Oreochromis niloticus: one gene and its partners. The protein of the gene in region 1 purifies or fractionates together with the protein of each later gene. This does not show direct contact. Links are inferred from orthologs where the notes say so. Each region holds a gene or a part of one and is shown in the gene's direction. Other genes may lie near its edges. The genes, in order: ap1b1, ap1m2 and ap1s1.

Region 1 (7,528 bases):
GAAAATCACCAGCCCGACTTACCTTATGACATGGAAAATGGTGACGGGAGTGTTGACCTCCCAGGCCCTGAGGATTGTCCATCATCTCTGCCCCTTCCCCTCTCTGAGGACTGCTCCTTCCAGGATTCCTCAAGTGAAAACTCTTCCATGTGCTTCAGCTTGAGCGAATCCCGCTCAGAGTCCCCTCCACCAAATTTGCCCTTGACTAACGGGGACGCTGATGGAGAAATGCTGGAGACTAAGAAAGGGCCAAAGAGAGCAAACAGGCTTGACCCAATCCCTAAGCACAAACTGGGGGGCCGGTTCAGGCCTCGCACTGACAACAGGCCCGAAAACGGCCCCTCGCGCATACCCACCCCCGTCAGCTACAGAGACCTGCAGGCGAACAACACTCTGTCCCCCTGCCACACCCCACCGCTGTCTCCTCAGAGCTCCCATCCTACCAGTCGCCAAGCCACATGCAAGGGCCTGCACCAGGCCTTCGCTGATATGATCCATCCTCATCCTCGTTCCTCAGCCATGGGCAACAAAGACTGCGCCTACCCTACACAGTCAGGCAGCGTGGACACTGAAGCTTGGATGTAGCACAAAACGAAACTGTGGGTAGTACACGGGAGGGGGTTGTTGTCATGAACTTTAACTACTGTGTTTAAAAAAGAGAAAACAAAAAACCCAACAAGATAAAAACGGGCTACAGACAGTTTTTACTGCATGTCAAACGCTCCTTTTTTTCTCCATTTAGGTTCTCCCCTGAATAACTGCAGGGCTTCACATTGCTTTTTTTGCACTCAAGCCAAATTATTTATTACCAAAGGAATGGTCTTTATGTTACTGTAATTTTTAATTTTAATGTGTGCATGGGGATGCTTTTGCCAATCTTTTATTTTTTTTATAAGTCACTAGTGAAATTCTCACAGTTGATACACAGAAATAGAAAGAGAGAGCATATGTGCTGCCATGTGCCTCACTAAGGGGGCATGGTAAAGTGCCAGGGCTTTAAAGCTGCAAGTCTAGAAACGATGTAAACACTAGTCCTTGAGTCATGCAGACTGGCTCCCTCTTGTGGTTTGCCATAGCACTTCTGCTTGCCTTATAGTGAAAATACTGGCATGATGACTGTGATGTTTTCAGTCTGTCCACATTAGTGGTATTCATATATGACTCACTATACTCACATTACAGTAATCAGTAACATAGACTAAGGTACACCCATCTCTGGCTCTATGAACATTATGCACACTACCAGTTTCTGTACAGTTGTTTCATGTTATTATTTAACAGTGTCAGCTTTTCATAATAATAAGCTGTTCTAGACAAGATAGATGCTTTTTGTTTGAATGCTTAATGTCTTACCGGTTTTTAAGATTTTGTTTAATGCAGTAAAATTTTAAAAAGTTTAATTTAAATGCATTGAGTGTACAACAAAAATATGAGGAGCATGGGGGAAGGTTATATTACTTTATATAGTTGTCGCTGACATTTTAAATATTGAGTTCCTCCTCTGACCAAACTGTACTCTGGAATTAAATGCTAAGGAGAATGAATGTGTAAATACATGCTGAGAGTGGGTATTTTGTAAAGACAAGGCTTGGAATATACAGTCTAATGTACATATTCACTGTATTCAGTTCTTAGCTATGCAATACTGGTGTTGAAAATGCCTTGAAAATTCCCTTTGCCTTAAACAATTTTTCACAGGTTACATTTTTTTTTTAAATGTTTTTAGCTAAACATCACTAAAATCTGTTAGGTAACACTACATTGCCATCTTTAACTGTTTATAATAATTAGAAAGTTTGGGTGTGAATGTGAAGGAGAAAAAAAAAAGCATTACCAGCCAGTTTCATTTATAAGTTATACCCGAGGTGGATGTGCAAATAATGAAAACCATATATATGATGTATTTCCTCTGAATTCCCTCGGTTGTTTATCGCCTATTTAACAGATGGATTTCAATAATGTGGCGCAATTTATGGTGACATCTAGTGGCAAAAAAAGAGAGAAATGTTTTATTCAGTGGTAGAAAATGTTGTTTTGATATGATACTGAAATGTCCTGGTGCTGATTAGAGCCAATAATGGTCTGGTATGACATGGTAAGGTTTGATAGATGAAGACTGACTGGCTTTAACTCGAGTGTCTGCATGTGTGCAGGGGTGCATGAATAATGGATGCTGTAACTGGATACTGAGCCTACTTTGTGAAGCTCTCACACAATTGTCATCAATATGACAAGCCAGACTCCAGCTACAGAGCCTACATTACTAGCTTTTTGGTATTTAGCATGTGTTGAAGGGTGTAAAGTTGGAAAGCGGTATACTGTTTAGTGGGCTCCAGAAACCATAGAATCTCAAGAGCTTCTGGATTTGAGCGAAGGAAAAACTGATATTAATATTTAATGATTGTTTCCCACACAATGTGGAGGCAAGGAAAAGAAAATGTTGATAAAATTGTTTTTGCTGGACACCAACAGAGCATGGCCTGGGAAAGGAGAGTGTGTATATCTTTGTGTACATACTGTATGGGAATATGTACAGATTTGAAGTAAAGAGGGAAGTAGTGCTGGTCTAATTTATTTATTTATGAAATCATCTTTCATGGGCTCAAGTGACATCTGTTTCCCAAGTTCGAGACGACAGACAGAATCAGTGGAAATGTTGTCAGTTAAAAATGAGAGTGATTTGAAGGCAAAGTGAACTTATTTATGTGTCCCATCTCTTAAAGATACAGTAATTTTATCATGCGCTGACTCCTCACTGCTACAAATGATTCATGATGTATCAGTATTGTTAAAGCGACATTGATTGCAATATGTAGCCAGTGGGCAGTTTAGCGTGTATAAACACATTATAACATGTACTCTTAATTCTTTTCATTTTACATTTGTTTTGGCTTGTTCGAACACGTATTTGGTGTTTTAAATGTACAGGCTAACTGAGCCATGACTTCTACAATCTTAAAACGATTGATTGTCCTAATCCGCTCTTTCTGCCTACACGGGATTTTATGAAACGCTCATTCCTCCGTATCCCCAATCAGCGAAATCCGAATGTTTGTGATCAGATGCCATTTTCACTAAAACTTTGGTTAAATGTACAGATTGCTTGACATTGTGGAATTTTTGTGTATGAAATAGCAATACTGCAATGTTTCACTTTTTTTTTCTGAATTTGAAAATGCTGTCAAGTTGTTCTTGTAATAAATCTTTTGCTCTGAAGCTTACGATGATGCTCTGGTCATTTTTTCATGTGTAGCTTTTGGCACAGCAGTGACTGGATTTTCTGTGCTACAGCGCATGTTAGAGAAAAGCAAAGAAGTGCTTCTGTTATTCTTCATGCACAGTGTTACTCACTATATTTTTGTACATAATAAATAATTTGTTGCATAAGTAAGACACGACTAAATATGGCAATGCGTCCTGCAGATTTTGCTTTGTGAAGTTCAAAATGGAGTTAAAATGCTGCAGTTGTTTCTCCTCACAATGTGCTTGGAAGGTTCAATTTTTATTACTATTTATTTGGATAAAATAATTCAGCTAATCCCTACATAGTCTTATATAATTATAGATTCAAAAATATTGTAAACTTGTGACGTTTTTGTATTAAACTTTTGTTATAGCAAACCTTCCAGTGTTTAGTCAGTCTGGAAATTAGAGCCCTAGGAGCTAGAGCCCATCCCAGCTGTCATAGGGCAAGAGGCACAGATAACCATTCACACCAAGAATTTAAAATCACCAGTTAACTTGACAAGTCTTTAGACTATAGTACCCAGGGAGAGAATGCAGACCATTCAGAGATGACTGGACAGCAGGACCTTTTTGCTGTCATGCAACAGTGGACCAAAGTGCTATCTTTTTGTAGAAATTAGTATTTGGTAATCCTCATTTAACGCCTCATTTATGCACATAAACACTTGCTATTTCAATACAGTATAAACGGATACACAAAACACTGGCATAATATTATCAGTTGAAGGGTTTAGGCCATAGATTTTATTTATTGTATTTAGGTAGTGTTTTATCAGCTTCCTAATAAACTCAAAACTGGGTCTCACTTTATTTACACATCCTTTGCTCTTACGATAACTGTCTGAATTATTTATTTAGTGAAAGTGAATATTTAGTTACCTACTCTGTATGTAGATTTAAGTAGCCGGATTGGAGCTGAAAAGAAAAGCGCACAGCGTTGACAGAGTTCCTGAATTTCTTTGTCTCATTATGACCAGCCCTGTATGAATGAGAGCTGACGTTGCCTGCCTGTTGTTATTTTGTTAAAAGACGGAAGTAAATCAAGTAGGAGGGGACGAAGGCCATCACAGTAACTGCTACGCTTGTCACGGTAAGATATTTGTGCTTGCTGAATTCACTGTATGGCGAGTTTAATTTTAACGCCAGAAGGTACGCTAATTCGTTGAGTAAGGTCTTAATTACACCGACAGATTAAGAGCTTAACTATCCCGGCAAAGGCTTCCTTAAGTCCCTACTTAGAAGGTCATGTCTCAGCTTTGCTAGCCAGAGAAGTGGTCAGGCGCTAGCTGACACTGACAGGCACACTGCACCAGGCTGCTATCCTTTAGCATTAGCTTCATTCATCTACTCTAACTGCTGCAAACATGCAGGAGTGGGCAAATCAGTTATGCGTGAGTAGTGGATTGAAATGCACTGTTAAATGCGCAACTATCGGCTGCAATTTAGCTCATTTTGGGTTAACTACTCAACTAAGTGTGCCTCCTTTCGTACACACTCGAGCCAGCTATGCTAATGCTGCTCTAGCCTAATGCTAGCCAGCTAGAGAACATTTTCTCAACTTTGTGTTTTAGCTAGCGGTATAAGTTAACGACAGCTTTTGTTAAATACTTATGTTGTAAGATCAGAAGCTACGTAAGAGTACACGAGAGTTTCGGTGTGAATTTAGCTCGGTAGCAGTGTGCTTTATCGTACAAACGGATCGTAATCGGCTAACGTATTGCTAACTACGTCGACAGTTGGGTTCGGTTTTGGTTAACTTGTGGCTAGTTAGCGACTTGTCGGATGTCGACTGGTACCTGAAACCCGGTGCTCTAGTTAATGTGTATTTCAGTACCATTAATAACAAGTTAGCATGTCAGTCTAACAGAATTCATTCATAAATGTAGACGTATTTTAAAGAGACTAAAGGGTTATTTTGCGGAATATTGTGAAGGAAATTTCTCTCTGTCTTTCTGTGTTCTACCATTTGACTGAACTGAATGTAAGTTCGATTAATGAAATCTTTATGGGTTTGTTTATTCACTGCAGAAGTATTTTTACATATTTGTAACACAGTAATAATAGATATTCAGTGCATAGTCAAGGAAATACTAACTTTTTTCTATATCAGAAAGACTTTAAAGAGACAAATTCCACATAATGTTGGTATGAACAAGCCATATATATGTTAAACATATACACTGCTGTCCAGTGAAGCTACTAGGTGTAGGTGGTTGAGTTTAAATACCTGACGCCAACCTAAACATTGGCCAGTGCTTAAGAAAGGTGAAGAGGATGGTGCAGGCAGGGTGGAATGGGTGTAGTTGAGATGTCAGGGCTGATTAGTGACAGAAGTACTACAGGAAGAGTGTATGGTGGGACTGACAAACAGGCAGGAGGCCAAGCTAAAGGTGGCAGAATTAAACGTGGCTTTTCATTTAGATTGACCAGGATGGATAAGATTAGTAAAGAGTACATCAGAGGGACAGCTCAGGTCGAGCAGCTTGGAGTCAAAAGTTAGAAGGCTGAGGTGATGTGGATGCATTGGGAAAAGGATGTTGAATATGAAGCTTCCAGGCAGGATGAACAGACGGAGACTATAGACAAGGTTTATGGATGGAGTGTGTGACAGGAGGATACTAGGGATTGGGTGAGATGGAGGCAGATGATCTGTTGTGGAGACCTCCTAAAAACGACCAGCTGTCCATGAGCCAAAAATGTCAAAATTTCATGTAAAAACACAGGTTTTATTTTTCCAATAGTATTTTAATATTTTACAGTTTTCTCTGAAATCTGTCAAGCAGGCATCTTTGTACCTTAAACTTAAAAAAAATAAAAATAAAATGAAATGGTGCCTTGAGGGCAACGGGATGAGGAAGTATAGCTAATGATACCCAAAAGAAAACATTGAATGTTGGCTGACAAGAGTTATTGTTGGCCCCATACGTGCTGACCAAGATTATTATTATAATTTTTTTTTAAAGAGGAGATATTAGTGTCTGATTTCTTAACAGAATCCATTGTTTTGATTTCCGATAGATCCCTACCATTTGTTCAGGAGAAGACAGGAATTCCTTTTATTTCCCTGTGCTTGCATTTCTAGTATTTCCTGTTGTTCTCGTGATGCTCCAAGTTTCCAGTCAGGAAAAGATTTCGCTATCATCTTTCTCATCCTGTCATTCGTTTGCAGGAGAATCGACAATTTGGATCCAAGATGACGGACTCCAAGTACTTCACCACTACTAAGAAAGGTTTGAAACTTTGTTCTTTAGAAGATTTAACATGGTAAACTCCTTAGTGTGAGATTATAATTATTGTTGTTGGTACCTACACATTATATTTATGCGAGTGCTTTGGGATTTATTGTCATTGTGAGCTGGGCTGTGCCAAATTATTATTTTTACCAAAGGGGACCTAACCTTTTCCCAGGTTGTTAAAGTAATTAATAGATGTTTTTTTTTTTCTCTCTGATAAAACTAAAGTTTTGTAGATTCCCAGTAAAATGATTTGGCATGTATTTACTAACTTCAACTCTATGAAGCCAAGCACATTTACTTGTTTCAAGAGCATGCATATTCTGGTAGAACTAGCAATGTTACCGAACTATAAGTTAGATGTAAGTAAGGAAAAAACAAACAAAACAAAAAAAATGTACCTAAAGATGTCATCTGACAGCTTTGTATCAAAGTTGTTCCCAAGAACAAGAGCTTTGGCTTTTGTATATCAGATAAGACGTAGTGAGAATTAGCTCTCAGTGAGATAACTGCTAGGCCTCCTTGTATTTCAGCAGCTCCCCTCACACAATGTTGCCCTGGGAAAGCCTAGAAGCCCTCTTTGTTCTCACACACAGGGCTTAAGAAATATAAACAGATGCTTGTAAATGATAGTGTACCAGACTCCTTGGTTTTTAAGGATTACCTGAGACATAAGAACAAGTTTCCTTCAAAATGTTCCCCCCTGTGGATCTGCCTAATGCTGTGTTGTGCAGTGTGGAGCTCACATGCAAAAGAGACTTTGAGTATTAATTTGCCTGGGAAATACTTAAGTCTGCAGATTCAAATTTAAGCTTATAATTTGCAGTTTGCTTGCAGTGTGTAGTTTGTACCCTAATTAGGCAGCTGAGTTAGACTGCAATAAAAACTAAATTAAACGTGATTCTCAAAGATTCTCAAATTAAAAAAATAAAAATATTCTGTGTACAATTCAACACAAATGGGCAAACACACTCCTTTTGTGGTTATATTTGACACACACTGTATACACTCTGCTTTAATAACACTGTGTTCTTTACTGGCTTTGTGTT
Region 2 (8,038 bases), on another chromosome or scaffold:
TGCATTGAGTTGATGCCATTATGACAACAGCAGTTGAAAAAAGTGGCTGGTGAGTATAATTCCCAAATACATATTAAAACTTAATACAAAGGCAAAGTTTATGAGAGTAATGAATCAAACAAACAAACAAATAACAATAAAAATAAACAATTTTTTGGGAAAACGGTATCATTGTGCTCTGAAAGCTTTACTCTAAGGTATGCTGAGTGAAAGAGAGTAACAGTCATCCTAACCCATATGTGGTATACTTCTGTATTCTGTGCAATAAACAAAAAAGGTCTTTCTATAAAAGCTAAAAGGTAACATCATGATAGGACAGAAGGAAGTTAAGTGAGTTTTCCTCATAAGACTCAGCTGATTTTAACAGAGAAGTAATAACATGAATAAAACTAAGTCATAAAGGTTTAATTTTATGAACTGTGCATGCGGCACAAGTATTACTCATGTGATGGTTACCTACATTACTATCTATCTGTTTGCATATTAGAGGGACATGTCTCCTTGCAAGGACAAGAAGCAAGCCGTAAAACATAAATAACATAAATAATTATTGGACTTATTTTAGGATTGTGTTTATGACTTGGCATGTCATAAAAAAAGCTAAGGAGCTAAAGCGTGATTTGACGTCACGTTTGGGCCCTGCTCGTACAATGGTATATGCTGCATCATCGTCACGTTGCCTCACTGGAAAGCTGTGGTATGTTGTCTGTCAAGAACTGGGATCCACAATCCACCTGAAAATGTCCACACCCAACAGTCTTGCATCTGCTCTAGGCCAAATGTCGACTCTATATTTGCACAATTGCTTTTCTGTCAGCTTGTGGTTGCAGTTTTGAGTCAAACGATTTGGCCTGGTTGCACGTACAGTAAAACAGCATATCCAGAAAGCTAAACCTTATTTTTCCATCGTCACCAGCATCATTGTTGACAGTCGGATAGTTTGCTTGAGAACCATTGTTTGTACACCCACGAGACAATAGATACCCTTAGGGCTCAGGTGACTGGTGACACCTGTTCCCTGCTGTGCTGGCTGTCATCTGCATCTTCTAATCGCCTCACAATTTACATATGTTTGTTGTCCTCCGATTGGCCTAGTGGGAAAAAAAAAGGTGGAGCTCAATCTCACACCACTGATTCGTAAGCAAAGGGGGAGTGTTTACGAAAACCGGCAGTGGGAGGAGATGGGTGACAGATGGAGAACAGATATTCCCCTGTCAGGTTACCAAACAGAGTACCAAATGTCCCGATGGCAAGGTAACAGCAATAACCTGTTTTGCTTTTGTTTGACAACGCAGAGGCCAAACGGGTTGCCCATCTCTCGGCTGATACGTGTGCTGTAAAATGAAAAGCTGTTTGTTTTAACACACTGTAAAATGAGGGGGCTCCATTGAATGAGGAGAAAAGTGTAAAGTCAGGTACATCTCTGCTGGACAGTCGACATCCGGTCCAAAGCTAGCACTCACAGCCTTTATTTTCACTGATATTAGTTTCACCCTGAGCCACCATGCTGAGTTCAACCGCCCTGATCCCAGCAGCCTCCGTTTGCTTTCGCATAGAGCTGACAGTCAAAGTTTTGGTGTTTCCCATAGAATCATGATATTGTATTACACTTTATCTCACACATCCAAGCTCACTAATGTTTCTAGCACCTGTGGAGAGATAAGGATACAAATCTCGAGTCATTATAAGTAAAAAATTAACTCTTATGCTTAGCTAATGCCTAAATATGGTGAATTATAGTCAAACAGTGAGTTTCATCAGTAAGAATGCACATTGCTGTGCTGTATATTTACCATGTTCAGGTGAGTTTTAAGGCTATTTTGCATAGTACAAAATACCACCCTACTGTATCAGGAGATATCATGGGAGCATCATGTAAAATAGCAGTTAAAAAAATAGTTCATTAATATTAATCACAATGATTAAGTGGTTTAATTTGAGTGGTATTTTGCTGAAATTTCTTACATTTGCTCCTGATTTTAAGTCACATTAAGACAGATATGATCAGAGTACTGAAGATCATTCAAACCTTTTCTATTTTATATATAAATGAATGTATTTAAAATAATTGTGACTTCATATAAAGGCAACAGATATATTTCCAGTGTCATAGTAAGACACTTTAGATCCTTCATCTTTCAAGGTTGCCCCCCCCCCAAAATGTACCAACTGTTAGAACTGACGATGATCATTTTCTGCTGATGGCACTGTGGAAAACTCTGCACGGCAAATAATATTAATAACGTTAGGGCATTGTGAGTGATTGTTTTGCCAACAAAATGCAGAAAAGGTATGGGAAAAGAGAAGAAAATATATATATTCTATCCAAATAAAATAAAACCATTTTTAAGTTTTAATTATTTATTTATTTGTTTTTTAATTTTGTACTCAGATAAAAAGCTGGGATCTAAGATTAATATCCACTTTGGCTACAACATAGCAAATAATAGTTAATGCTCCACTGAATTTGAGATTCTGCTGAACATTTCAGGTCAAAACCAATCCTCAGTCATGCTCGCTTTCTTAAGCTGACATGGATACAATTTCCAGTGGATGCAGATTAAAACATCTGAAGTATTTTGATACAATTAGGAGTGGGCAAACTGTTGTTTTGCTGGCAGTTAAGTGTGTAAGCAGCAGGAAATTATTTTTCTTCTCGTCTGACTAATGCTTCCCTATGCTTGCAGCCGTTTCTGTTCTGCCATTGTCATTTCTGTATAGTTCAGATAACATCAACTAATGACGGAGAGCCAAACACGTACTCTATTTTGCACACTGCTAAATGTTGAAGGAAAATACAATTTTAAAAGACGCTGGTATCTAAAACTACAAACATTTCTAGACCTCGAATTTAAAAAAGCTGCACAATGCTAAGAAACTGTAGCGGTGCACGATTTTAATTAAAATGCATGATATAAAATGACTAATATCGTGGCGCACCAGCCTATTCTGAGTCAGTTCTACTGTAGCCTATATCCTGTGTGAATGCAACATGCCTAAGGTGTGCCTTTTTTTTATAGCTAAGATAAAGTAATTTATCATTAGAAAAAATAGTGACGAGATAAGGGGAACCAACCCTATATTGTCAAAAGGAGTGGGATACTGGAAACGGCTGATCTCCATCTGGTGTCTTGATGCAAATGTTCACACGCGCATGTTATTCTAAGGCAAGCCTCTTTACACACAGATGATAAGTGGAGGCTGAGATCTGAGGCATAATACCACACGGAGAGGCCGAGCTCCCGAAGCACGTGAGCAGAAAAATGTTTGTATAGCCCTGAAGCTAAAGACAGCATGCCACACTCGCAGATCAAGGTAGAACAGGATTTAATCTTCGGGGGATTAATAACACCCAATGTGTCATTTAAGAGAAGAAACAAGTTGAAGAAATGTCATATTATAAATGTCAATAGTGAATACAGAAATATCAAGGTTAAACAATGAAAGAATTACTGCAAACAAATCAAAGAAGAATAATCTTTTAAAAAGCAACAAGCGTAAACCGAGGTCACCACGTGTCTCAGATATGTTTACATTGGATTTCTGTCTTCATGGGGTTCTTAATAGGGCTCATAAATGTGTGCAATACCTGTGATTCCAAGTATAAGTGCATGTACTACACTAAAAGTAGAGCCAAGGTTTGCTGAAGAATATTTCATCTGATAGTGGGTGAAAAATGGATTTATGGAGGAATCCAGAAAAGATTTCAACATTGGTAGGACAAACAAACTCTAGGCAGAAAGTCCAAGCAGGGTCGAAACAGGTGACAGCGCCAAGCAGCACTGCACCACCAATAAGCTAATAACCACCTAAGTAAAATTTGTAAAAATTTGTATTTACATGTAATATTTAGAGACATGGATAGATGTTTTGCATGACTTTTGAATTTTGTGTCTAATAATTGATCTGTATACTTCTTTTTAATTTTATTTTTGGTCTTCTGTTTGAATTTTTCAACTTTCAAAGTACTTTTATTAATATTATCATTACGAGAAGAAATGGTAAATGGCCTGTATTTGTATAGCGCTTTACTAGTCCCTAAGGACCCCAAAGTGCTTTACACATCCAGTCATCCACCCATTCACACATCGGTGACGGCAAGCTACATTGCAGCCACAGCCACCCTGGGGTGCACTGACAGAGGCGAGGCTGCCGGACACTGGCGCCACCGGGCCCTCTGACCACCACCAGTAGGCAGTGGGTGAAGTGTCTTGCCCAAGGACACAACGACCGAGACACATCGAACCGGCAACCTTCCGATTACAAGACGAACTGCCAACTCTTGAGCCACGATTGCCCCTAGAAGAAGAAGAAGAAGAAGTATAATGAGTTCAGTCTTTATTCTTTCTTTAATCTTTATTCAGATTCCCCTGAGTTGTTACCGCAGCGATAACTATGCTTCCTAGGGTCCACAGATAAAAACAACACAAAACATCCAACCATCGATCTACAGACAATCAACCAATAACTTAAAAATCACAATTACATCAATAAAATAAAATAACAAGTATTTCCTTTAACATATACAACAGTCACACAACAACAAGAAAATATATTACAGATGCTTAAAATAAGAAAATGTTACTTGCGACTTAAGATTTAAGCTAACATCATACCTACCCACAATCTTCACAGGTGAATAATCAGGTGTGCTTAAGAAGTGCTGCTTTTACTGCTTCTGAAAACCCAATTCCAGTTATAAACGATATAAGTTTATGGCATTACTTTTTAACTGGTAATATGAAGCAGTATTTGGAGGGGCTGGTAGGATGGACTCTTATTTGGAAGAAGAAGACCAACACTGAAAAACCTCTCGATCAACAAAGGTCACGAGGTCACACACTTGTCGCGGTCCCTGCTATGATTTGTCGGTTTGTGGCGCACTCTGGCGGCTAAAGCGGGGAGCACACCCTTCCTGCACTTCATTTACTCAGGTGAGCTAGTTAATGTTTCACCTGCGTGCAGTGACGTCACTGGACCTTCAGGAAAAAGACACCGTGGAGTCCGCGATCAGCCCGACCGGAACGGTTCCTGACATTTTCAGGACAAAGCTGCTGCAATAAGTCTTGAGTTAGGCTTTAAACTCAGTTTCGGCGCTTCGTGAAATCTCACGCTGTTGGTCCCCCGGGTTCAGACACGATGTCCGCCTCCGCTATCTTTGTGCTGGATCTGAAGGGGAAGGTAAGAGCAAAGCTCGAGCTAATTTTAGACAACTGATAATTACTTATTCCTGTGCGCGTGGCAGGAATAAGTAATCGGTTTTGGTTACTGGGTTGAATTTTTTGGTGCTCTTTTAACTGTTAAACATTAAACGCGTTGTTAAAAATTAATAACAGATCTTGCGACACACTCTTTCTTGTATTTCTTATTTTATTTAACTTTTAGTTTTCTACTTCCGGATACATGGCAATGTAAATTAAGCTTTAAACAATGGAAGCGAACGCGTGTGGCAGCACATGTAGCCTTCAGGTAGATAGTTTGTGTCACCGTCACGTTTATGTTTACACAGGAGCCTGCATGACTCTGGCATGACAGACAGAACATGTAACTTTAGCCTCGAGTTAGTGTTTCTCGTGGTTTCATGTTGTGTGTGTGATCTGTTACATTTTATCTACTCGAACCCAAGCTCAATCCATACATTTTGTTTTACCAGCAAGTTTCAAGGTTGGTTGGTTTTGCATGTGTCGTTTCCAAGGCCAGTCAACACTGAGATGGAGAGGGGGTGTACCGAATATAGATCTGTTTTTGGAGGGGTCTGGATTCTGATTGGTTAAACAAATCATCATCAAAAACTTATATTTACACTTTTATTCCCTTACACCTAAGGTTCCATCACCAAATAATAATATGTCCTTCTCATGCATGACCTGGGTGAATTAGAATGTTGTTATACATGTCATGACACAATCAGTCCCATCAACAACTAAAAGAAAAATATTTATGGATCCTAACTTTATACTGAGCTATCAAAAAGACTATTCTCTTTGAGCTTTCCACTTTTTAATACTTTTAAAATGAAGGGGCAAAAAAAAGGATGATTATTTCCATTCAGAGTAGATTAGCAACCACTTCAGAATTAGAATCAGAATACTTTACATAATTTCCTTAGAGAGTATTAAAGGACAAAGAAATAAGTAAGAAAAAAAGTTAGAGTAAAGAGAAAAAGCAGGAGCAACTGAAACCGGCTGCATGCTGGTGGACACATGTGCACAAGGTTTTCTCTTCCACTTCTACAGGGATGTGAAAACAGCATAGAAATTTAGTCTACTTTATAGCTAGAACTCATAATAATAATAATATTAGTCACATTGTAACTAATCATTGTAATTATTGTCTCCGCATCTGTGGTAAAGTTTTGTCATATTGGTGATTAAAAGCTTTAATTTTCTGCTATTATTTTACTTATGACTGGTATTTTCTTATATTTAGTGGTTTTGTCTTTTGAAATTGCCGTTTGCCAGTTTGATTTTATTTATCTCATAATCTGATCATTAAAATTTCTTTTCCTGTCTGATCAGTTAAGGGAAGACAGTTAAGCTGTCAGGGTTCAAAATTTTCGATAATATGCTTTTCCCCAGGTGATTACTTCCATTAAGAAACATTTTTCCGGCTGCTTCCTTTGGAGTCTGCCACAGTGGATCATCTGCCTTTATCTCACCCTATCCAGTAGCATCCTCATCTGTCACACCAACCCTCACCATGTCTCCTTTTGCTACATCCATGAACCTCCTCTATGGTCTTCTTTCTGTCTGACAGCTGCATATTCAACATCCTTTGCCCTCCTCTTTGCACATGTCCAAACCATCTCAGCCTCACCTCTCTGACTTTGCTTCCAAAGTGCTCAGCTTGTCCTGTCCCTCTGATGTGCACATTTCTAATCCTGCCCAACTTGGTGGTTTGTGTATTTTAACGTGTATTAAATGTACATAACAGGAATGTGAACGCTGAGTAAGGCCATGTTCCAATTTCTTGTTTACTTTTATTCACACATCAGAATTTATAGGTTTAAATGTGTAAATGAAGCCACGTTTAATTAAAGAAAATTAATTTGTGTAGATAAAGGCTTGGGTTTTTTTTAAGGATATTTTAGTGTTTTAACAGATAACACGTTTGTATAAGAAATATTATGAATAAAAGACCCAGAACCTTAAAAAAAGGTTGATGTCTGAGTCTTGTCTTAATCTCTGTGACAAATTTTTATCATTTTGTCCCACTGTTAGGGACAAAATGATAATTTGAGAAGAGTATTTCTTAAAAATAAAGACAATTTTAATATTTTTCCTCATCAGTGTTGTTTAAAATCAGTGAGCGTAGTTCTTTCTACTGAGAATCACAAGATCAGTTGTTATTATTGTGATTATATCCAATCATTCTCCTAATTGCTTTTCCAGTTGAGGGTCTGTGTGAAACTGCTATTGTAATATCCATTGCCTTCCCATCATTGAACAAAATGACACTAGAAGTCATTCTATAAGTAGTAATTTCTATATTAACAGTTGTCTCGTAACCACGTGCTGGTATTCTTCCTTCTTCAGGTGCTGATTTGTCGGAACTACAAAGGCGATGTGGACATGTCAGAGATTGACCACTTCATGCATTTGCTCATGCAGCATGAAGAGGAAGGTCTTCTCTGTCCCGTAATGTCACACGGCAACGTTCACTTCATGTGGATCAAACACAGCAACCTCTACCGTATCCCTGTCCTGAGTGTTTAATGACATCCTTTGCAGGCAATGACCATTAGCAATCATATGAAAAGATGAGTCCTTGATTTTTACAGCAGTGTTTTTAACTTCAGAACATTCCTTGACCTGATCTCTATACAGTTGTGGCTACAACAAACAAGAACTCCAACGCTTCCCTGGTGTATGCATTTCTTTACAAACTAGTCGAGGTGAGCGATGCCTAGTGTGGTGAATAATATAAATATTTCCTGTTGCCTGTGCATCCTGTTTCCAAAGAAACGGTTTTGTTGTTGTGGGACATCAGTGAAACATGACAGTCAAAGATGGCTGTAATCCAGAGTAAATTCTGGCAG
Region 3 (7,599 bases), on another chromosome or scaffold:
TTTTAATGAGGTCCACTGTCAGAGTCTGTGAGAAGATAGCTCATGACCGTCACTAAAGCTGTTTTTGTGCTATGATGCACTCTTAATCCTGACTAAAGCTTTTTAAATAAACCAGTCTTTCAGAGATGATCACTCAGTATTTTTTTATAACTGCTCTTTCAAGATATATATACATATATCTTGAAAGAGCAGTTATAAAAAAAAAACTGAGTGATCATCTCTGAAAGACTGGTTCATATATATATATACATATATATATATATATATATATATATATATATATATATATACATATATATACATATATATATATATATATATATATATATATATATATACATATGAAGAAATAAAATCCTTTTAAAGTAATGGTTTAATTAAAACCACCTTAAAAGCCTGTGGTCACCTGTCAATAAAGACGGTCCATATTTCAAATTGAAGCATTTTAAGCCTTAATGACGGATTATAAATAAGCAGATAAAAAAAATGAAGGTTTTAAAAAAAACTACATAATGAAAACAAACAAACATATTTTTATCTAATTTTTTATTCTTAATTTATTCATTTGTTTTTTTGTGTTTTTCCCTCTAGTGGATCAAAGGCTGTGTGTGTCAAAGGTCCTGCAAAAACTGAAAATTGAGGTGAATGAAGAGGGAACCAAAGGAGCAGCATCAACAGGTACCCTCATTTTTCAGTTCTATATATATTTATTTGTGGCACAGGCGATACAATTGATTTTTTTTTTTTTTAAATTTTGTCTAAGTATTAAACATAATATGATGTAAGCTAAAAGGGGATATTGAAAATAGGCAACATAAGCAGAGGTCTTATTGATTTATAGATGCAGAGAAAATATTTTAATCATATTTTGTGATTAATCAAATTGTAACAAATACTTTTCAACAAAAAAATGTATCAGGAGAACTATTTGAAGATAATGTAAGGGGTCCAAATGGGGTCCCCACATAAACCCAACACTGACCTTTCCCCCCCTTTCTGTTTCATTGTTCTTAGCTGCTGTCATGTTTTCTCGTATGGCAGTAGAGGAGATCGTTCTAGACCGACCTTTCCTTTTCCTTATCCAGCACAAACTCACAGGTAACCTTTCACTAGAATACAATTTTACAATACCAGACTGCTGATCATCCAGGTAGGGTGGCTCTCTAATGTTCTCCCTTTTATGTTTAGGTGCTGTTCTTTTCATGGGTCACTTCAACCAGCCTCAACAGTAACCCACTCTGAGCCCACTCTCTGCGTGAGACTACTAAAATTCCACATAATGGCCATCGAATGGATGACATATCTGACATATACTACTTAAATCAGATGACATATTTGAAACTGCAAACTAAATCACTGGAAAGTTTATTTAGAACAGTATTGAAAGAGATTTTGTTTAAAAAAATATTTCTTTATAGATTATTTATTTCTCTGAATGTTTCTGGCTGATAAAACATAATGCGATATAAAGGAAAGTGAACATATGAGGTATTTCACCTGTTTCTGATACAAAAGATAGTGATTTAATTGAAAGGGAGGGACGCTGATGCATTAGTATTTATAAAGAGTTATATTTTAATATTACTATTTTATATTACTGTTAAAAAATTATATTTCATATTTTTTGGTTGTTTTGTTCTTACATTTTTATTTCTGTCACTATGCTTATATTTATTAAACTACTATATTTTTTACAATGTTGCAGTCTTTGAACAGTTCTTTGAAAGGTTAACACTGACTTTTTCTGCTTTCCCCCTGATTCAAGCATCAAAAGGCATCTAACAAATCAGTATTGTGTCTACACATAACAGACATGTTATGTTCCCATTTCTTTAGTTAAACCTGCCAAACATAAGTTTGGCATGAAACAGCATTTTTGTACCATTAAGGTGCAAAATAGGTATTAGCTGAAAACTTGAAATACCAAGCATGGTGTGCAGTGACTGAGGAAACTAGACAAGTGGAAGACAAAAGCATGTCTAAAAAAAAATCTGTATCTATCTACAGTAGATAAACAGTATCTGAAAGCAAGATATAGGGGTGGGGTGGGGTCCCGACACTGATTCACCAAAGCAAAGAAAACCTGTCAGGAAGCCATTCTTAAGAAGGGGAAACATTACACAAGAACTGGAGTGAAAATGAGGCAAGAGGTCTTCATTTTTCAGCATCATATGATCCCAAACACACCGCCAATGCAGTAAAAAGCATAGATAAACACCCAGTGGAACACACTGAGAGCCTGCACTTCAACATTATTGAATCTGTGTGGGATTATCTTGACACAGAACAGGCAAAAAACAGCCAAAGCAGAGCTTCAACAGGTCTTTTGAGAAATTTAGAGATTATTCCTGAAGAGCAATTAAAGAAATCACAAATCTTGCCTAAGAGAGTTCAAACTGTGTTGAAGAATAAAAGTGGTGACACCATGTATTAACTTCCATGTATACATATATATATATATATATATATATATATATATATATATATATATATATATATATATATGTAATCTCAACGGAAATGAAGATTTTCAACCTACAGAGGGCCGAATTCAAAGGCTCCAAAAAGTGTTCATTCTGCTCCTACTGTGACAAAGGAGCGGTTCTGTTAAAATCTCCTTCATGCTTTGAGAGTGTGCTGGGAGACACACCCAAACCTTCTGTCAATGATACATATTAATGTACCAGGCATCTGTGAAAACAGAATTTATGAAGTTTAACGGAGTTAGATGTTAGCAGGAAGTTAGCTCGCTAGTTTCCACCTAAACATGATATATCATGTTCTGACTGAGAGATTTCTGAAAAAATTAAAACACAGTTATGGTTAGCATGATATAAACATATTATCACAGTGAAGCTGGAGGATAAAACTTTTTTCCACTCGATAAAAGTTAACGTGAGGGTTCCCGATGGTTAGGGACAAATGCAATCGCATGGCAGGATGCTGTAAACGGACCAAACTTCAGGGATAGGGCAGAGATAGCTCAGTAGGTAGAGTGATTGCCCCATGATCGGAAGGTTGGGGGTTTGAATCCACTGAACGGCTACCCTGAGGTACTCCTGAGCAAGGTACGGTCCCTACACACTGCTCCCTGGGTGCTGCATTGGTGGCTGCCCACTGCTTCACTGGGTGAATGGGTTAAATGCAGTGTATGTGTTGGTCCCTACACACACATTATACAAGGTCAGGGTGTATACTGCTGCATGGGCTGGGCTGTAGTTACATCATAAGGTTTTAAAAACTGAGCTTTAAAATGAACAGTGGTAATAAAAACTGAGAGAGGCTGAAAGTGATCACTGACATTTTAGGGGCTCGTTCAGAATAAATAGAACAAAACAGAAAAAATTAAAACTTTAAATTAAAGTTTTAAAAAAAACTTTAAAACTAAAAACACAACAGCCTTATTAAACACAGAGTAGTTTGAACCCAGTTTGGTTCATCTCGTCATCACTTAAAGACTGGATAATTAAACTTAGTGTGTAAAGAGGACTCTCTCCATTTACATGAAAGAAAAAACAGAGTCTATCAGACAGATATCATTCAAACCCCTACAGTGCCGTACTTTAATACCTATGGCATGCTCTAATCTCTGTAATAAAATACTGTGGTCAGTATTAACGATGGACTGAGGTCTAGCAGGACAAGCACAGAGATGAGTCCACTGTCAGAGGCCATAAGAAGACCATTTGTAACCTTCACTAAAGCTGTTTCTGTGCTGGGATGAGCTCTGAAACCTGACTGAAACTCTTTAAATAGACCATTCCTCTGCAGATGATCTGTCAGCTGTTTGACAACTGAGAGATTGGTCAATAATTACCTAAGACAGCTGGATCAAGTGACTGCTTTTTAAGTAATAGTTTAATTATTGCCACCTTAATTGCACATAGCCTATTAATAGAGATAGATGATCATATTCAAGATTAAAGCATTTACTAATTGTAATAGTTTGAGCAGTTGGTAAGAATGGGTAATGGGGTCTAATGGACACGTTGATGACCTGGAGGAAGCCATTACTAAAGTTATTTCAGACAGATATAAATAAATATAAATGACATTTAAAGTAGCTTAAAATAATAGTATGTCTATGGTTGTGAGTATTTGTTCTTCAATAGATAAAATTTCATTTTTAAAAAAAATTAATGAAGTTAAAGTTAAAGGAATGCTTGACTCAGCAGAGCTCTGACAGTGCTGAAGAGAAACCTGGGATTTTTCGGTGTTTAATGAATGATGACGATGAAAAATCCTACCGATTTTCTTTTTTTTTTTTTTCTTCTTTTTTTGAGCAGATTTTTTTTTCCAGGCAACATGGAGATCTTCTAAATTGGTGACATGGCATTTCCCCTCTAACTTACGGGTTATCCGCTTTAAGGTCCGTACTTGAAAGCTATACCAGGGAGTCAGTATCCGCAGTCATACACAGTGAGGATGTAACACTAAAGTCGATACACTGTAAAATCATTCGAACCCTCCGGAAGTGAGACGAAATCATAAACGTCATGTTAGACGTGCCGGAGTGCGCATGCTCCTCGGATGTGGAAGCGCTTTGGCAGAAACAACGATCGTGGAAGGGTTTCCGCTTTTTGCAAGCGCAGTAGTTGAGCACCTCACACGGGAATGAACTTTCGGCATTAGTTCGGGTGTAGGTCTGAGTGGGCAACGAGGGAGTAGAGTCCGTTTGTAACGAGACACAAACGTTAAAACCCCCACAGAATGGTAAGTTATTACGTCTCACTTGCAGGGAAAAGTGTATGTGGAGGGTATGCTACGCTAATGCTATCAAGGTGTATGATTCCAGGAAGTCACCACCTGCGCTAACTACACCTGGCTTCTGTCAGCATAGCCTTGCAAGCTAACAGGCCAGCATAACCTGTGAAACTTCATCTTTCTTACGCTGTATATAGCTCTCGTGCAGCTTGTGGTCTGTGTGATGTTAGTCAAACTTTAGCATGACAGACACGGGACAAACTAGTGTGACTGCCCTCGTTGCAGGTAATTCGTTTATCTTTAGGTTTTAGTTATCGTCAGCAACGAAGGTGATGGCGTGCTTGTTACTTTCTGCCAGCCTACATAAAGTAATGAAATAGGCTTCATTATGTGGCTAACTTTGTGCTTAACCTCAGCTCAATTGTTTTTGGAACTCTGTATGGCCAAAACCTTGAGCCAGATGACTGGTGATCTTAATATTACCTGCTACAGTGACATCTGTTACTGGCTAGACTGATGAAACAATAACATTCATCTTTTATGAAACCATACCTCCCACAGTCATGCCTGCCAAATAGACTGTAGACTGGTAGCAGGCAGATGGAAGTAAACATAATAAGTGATATGCTGGATTAGTATTGCCATGTCTGCAAAGTTTTAAAATACCTGTAATACACATTACAGCATAAGTTTATATCTGTGGTTTCATTATGTGATTGAAGTGTTTGCTTTAAGTGCTTTAAATGCAATACATGACGTTTATGTCTGGAGGTAATATCAAACCAAAATATTATAGACATTTGATGTCACTTCCTCCCTTTTCTTTGCCAGTATGGCGTGGGAAAACAGCATAGGATGATGAGATGAAACACTCGCCATATACAACAGGAGTGTAAATTTGCCATGGCCATTATGTTATTATAGACTTTCAAAAAGAATATATAAAGATTGTCGTCCTAGTGCAGGTCTTTAGTGACCAAATTCATTATTAATTTTGCTTTTAGTCCTAATTCAGTCTTCCCAGCACCTGAAAAAGGTAACTGACTCTTCAACTTCTGAGTGCTCCACTTTGTTCACCTACTACTTTTGAACTGGCAGTTTGTGTTTTTTCAGTAGTGTACTCGGGATGTATCAGAGAGAAATTGCATTAATCAACTGAGGGATTTGGAGGGCATGGGATAAGTGAACTGGAATTTAAATAGCCTATTATAGAAAGCCCTGAAGTTGTTTTTATTTCTTTGTTTGGTTTGACTGGTTCATTTTAACATTATATCGTTTAAAAAGGCTAGATTATAATGCTGGCTTAACTCCCTACTTGTTCCATTGTGACACTCCCTTGGACCAAGTAGATATGGGATAACAATCAGACACCAAGTGGAGATTAGAAAGGTTTTTTTTTTATTGTCATTTGAGAAAACAATTTGGCATGCTCTTCTCTTTTTTGCAGTATATGTCTACTGAAATGTTTACCACAAGTTAAAGTCTCACAAAATGTCATAGACTTGATTTTTGAATGCAGCACATCTCAGTCCAAGCATCTATTGTGCTGGATTTCAAACATGGTGCGCTGCTTTGTTATTTGAGCAGACACGAGCTGCCGTGTGCTCTAAAAGATGTGCACTGTTGACATGGTTTAATTTTCTAAAAACTCAGTGTACACTGTGGTTTATGGGTCACCAAGGATTTGATTCTCTTGGGCTGACTAAGATTTCACTGTGTATTAAACTTTGAACCAGAACTTTTTCTAAGCAAGTAATCCAGACCACATGGCAAGATGTTGATAACTAACCAAATTATCTGTTTTTGGTGTCTTCTTCCTACCATATAATGGCATCTGCCTCTATTAATAGGAGGGCCCTCCTGTTTATCCTCTTTGTCATGATGTTGGAACACTTGGGCAGGCGCACTGATTATTTTATTGGAGCTGAAATAATTTTGACCATATTTAACTCTTAATGACGTCCCAGTATTTCTTTGCTTTTGGGAATTGAAAGAGCATTTGATCACAGAAATGATTAATGATGTCAGACTTGATAATAATGTTTACAAAAAGAGCAAAGTATAAAAAACTGTGATGAAGTGACTCATAATTGGTCACAAGAATGCAGTTAACAGGAAAAGTTCCTGTACTGGACCAATAATTGTAATTGTCACATTTATGTATTGACATATACTTACACATTGAATACATGTTCTCATAAATGCTGTACTGTCTTTTTTGCATGTAGATGCGCTTCATGCTGCTGTTCAGCCGGCAGGGCAAGCTGCGACTGCAGAAGTGGTACACAGCCACAGCTGAGCGTGACAAGAAGAAGATGGTCAGGGAGCTGATGCAGATAGTGTTGGCCCGCAAACCAAAGATGTGCAGTTTTCTAGAATGGCGCGACCTCAAGATTGTCTATAAAAGGTAAAAGTGCCATGGGCAGTCCTGCATTTTGTACTCATCACAGCATCACCTGCTTCTTGTGGTACTTTCTTTACACTATTTTCATCTTTTCTCATTTTAATGTTACTGACAGTTGCTTCTAGTGTACATATTTACAGTTTCATTTTCTTTCATGCTATGAACTGCTGTTGATTTTTCACTAATTATCAAGAAACTGTAAAGAAATGCACTAGTGCCTTTATCCCAGTGCCAGGTTCTCAGGTTCATTTACTTGTGATACATTTAGGCAGTAGCCTTTATTGTTTAGAAATTTTAAAAAGGAATGTTAGTAACGCAGTATTAAACATGTAAAAAAGATGAGATGTGGCAGTGCTTTGTCTCCAAGAAAGAAACCGTGGGAAGGAAAATTACATATTTGTACGTATTTGAGTATTTCATCAAAATTAATGTCTGTCGGAAAGAGAAGCTGCTTTCGTATAGATGGGGACGATAGGCCCACGTCCACCACA

Evidence for each region.
Region 2: the proteins of ap1b1 (region 1) and ap1m2 purify together in Homo sapiens (affinity purification with mass spectrometry; 3 studies listed by BioGRID and IntAct, counting the BioPlex papers as one, with this or other methods). This does not show direct contact. The link is inferred for Oreochromis niloticus from reciprocal best matches to the Homo sapiens genes AP1B1 and AP1M2.
Region 3: the proteins of ap1b1 (region 1) and ap1s1 fractionate together in Homo sapiens (co-fractionation; 6 studies listed by BioGRID and IntAct, with this or other methods). This does not show direct contact. The link is inferred for Oreochromis niloticus from reciprocal best matches to the Homo sapiens genes AP1B1 and AP1S1.

What each region holds. Positions count from the first base shown.
Region 1 is NC_031977.2:18,689,566-18,697,093, forward strand, and holds the start of ap1b1 (AP-1 complex subunit beta-1), read left to right. Parts: upstream 1-4,509; 5' UTR 4,510-4,610; coding exon 4,611-4,637; intron 4,638-5,204; exon of another isoform or gene 5,205-5,227; intron 5,228-6,415; coding exon 6,416-6,476; intron 6,477-7,528. Other genes in the region: gas2l1 (GAS2-like protein 1), read left to right, coding at 1-585. UniProt on the Homo sapiens protein: Subunit of clathrin-associated adaptor protein complex 1 that plays a role in protein sorting in the late-Golgi/trans-Golgi network (TGN) and/or endosomes.
Region 2 is NC_031971.2:24,606,284-24,614,321, forward strand, and holds the start of ap1m2 (AP-1 complex subunit mu-2), read left to right. Parts: upstream 1-4,947; 5' UTR 4,948-5,139; coding exon 5,140-5,181; intron 5,182-7,535; coding exon 7,536-7,692; intron 7,693-7,826; coding exon 7,827-7,894; intron 7,895-8,038. UniProt on the Homo sapiens protein: Subunit of clathrin-associated adaptor protein complex 1 that plays a role in protein sorting in the trans-Golgi network (TGN) and endosomes.
Region 3 is NC_031967.2:1,997,052-2,004,650, forward strand, and holds the start of ap1s1 (AP-1 complex subunit sigma-1A), read left to right. Parts: upstream 1-4,508; 5' UTR 4,509-4,710; coding exon 4,711-4,713; intron 4,714-6,932; coding exon 6,933-7,111; intron 7,112-7,599. Other genes in the region: serpine1 (plasminogen activator inhibitor 1), read left to right, coding at 592-678, 1,015-1,098, 1,189-1,232. UniProt on the Homo sapiens protein: Subunit of clathrin-associated adaptor protein complex 1 that plays a role in protein sorting in the late-Golgi/trans-Golgi network (TGN) and/or endosomes.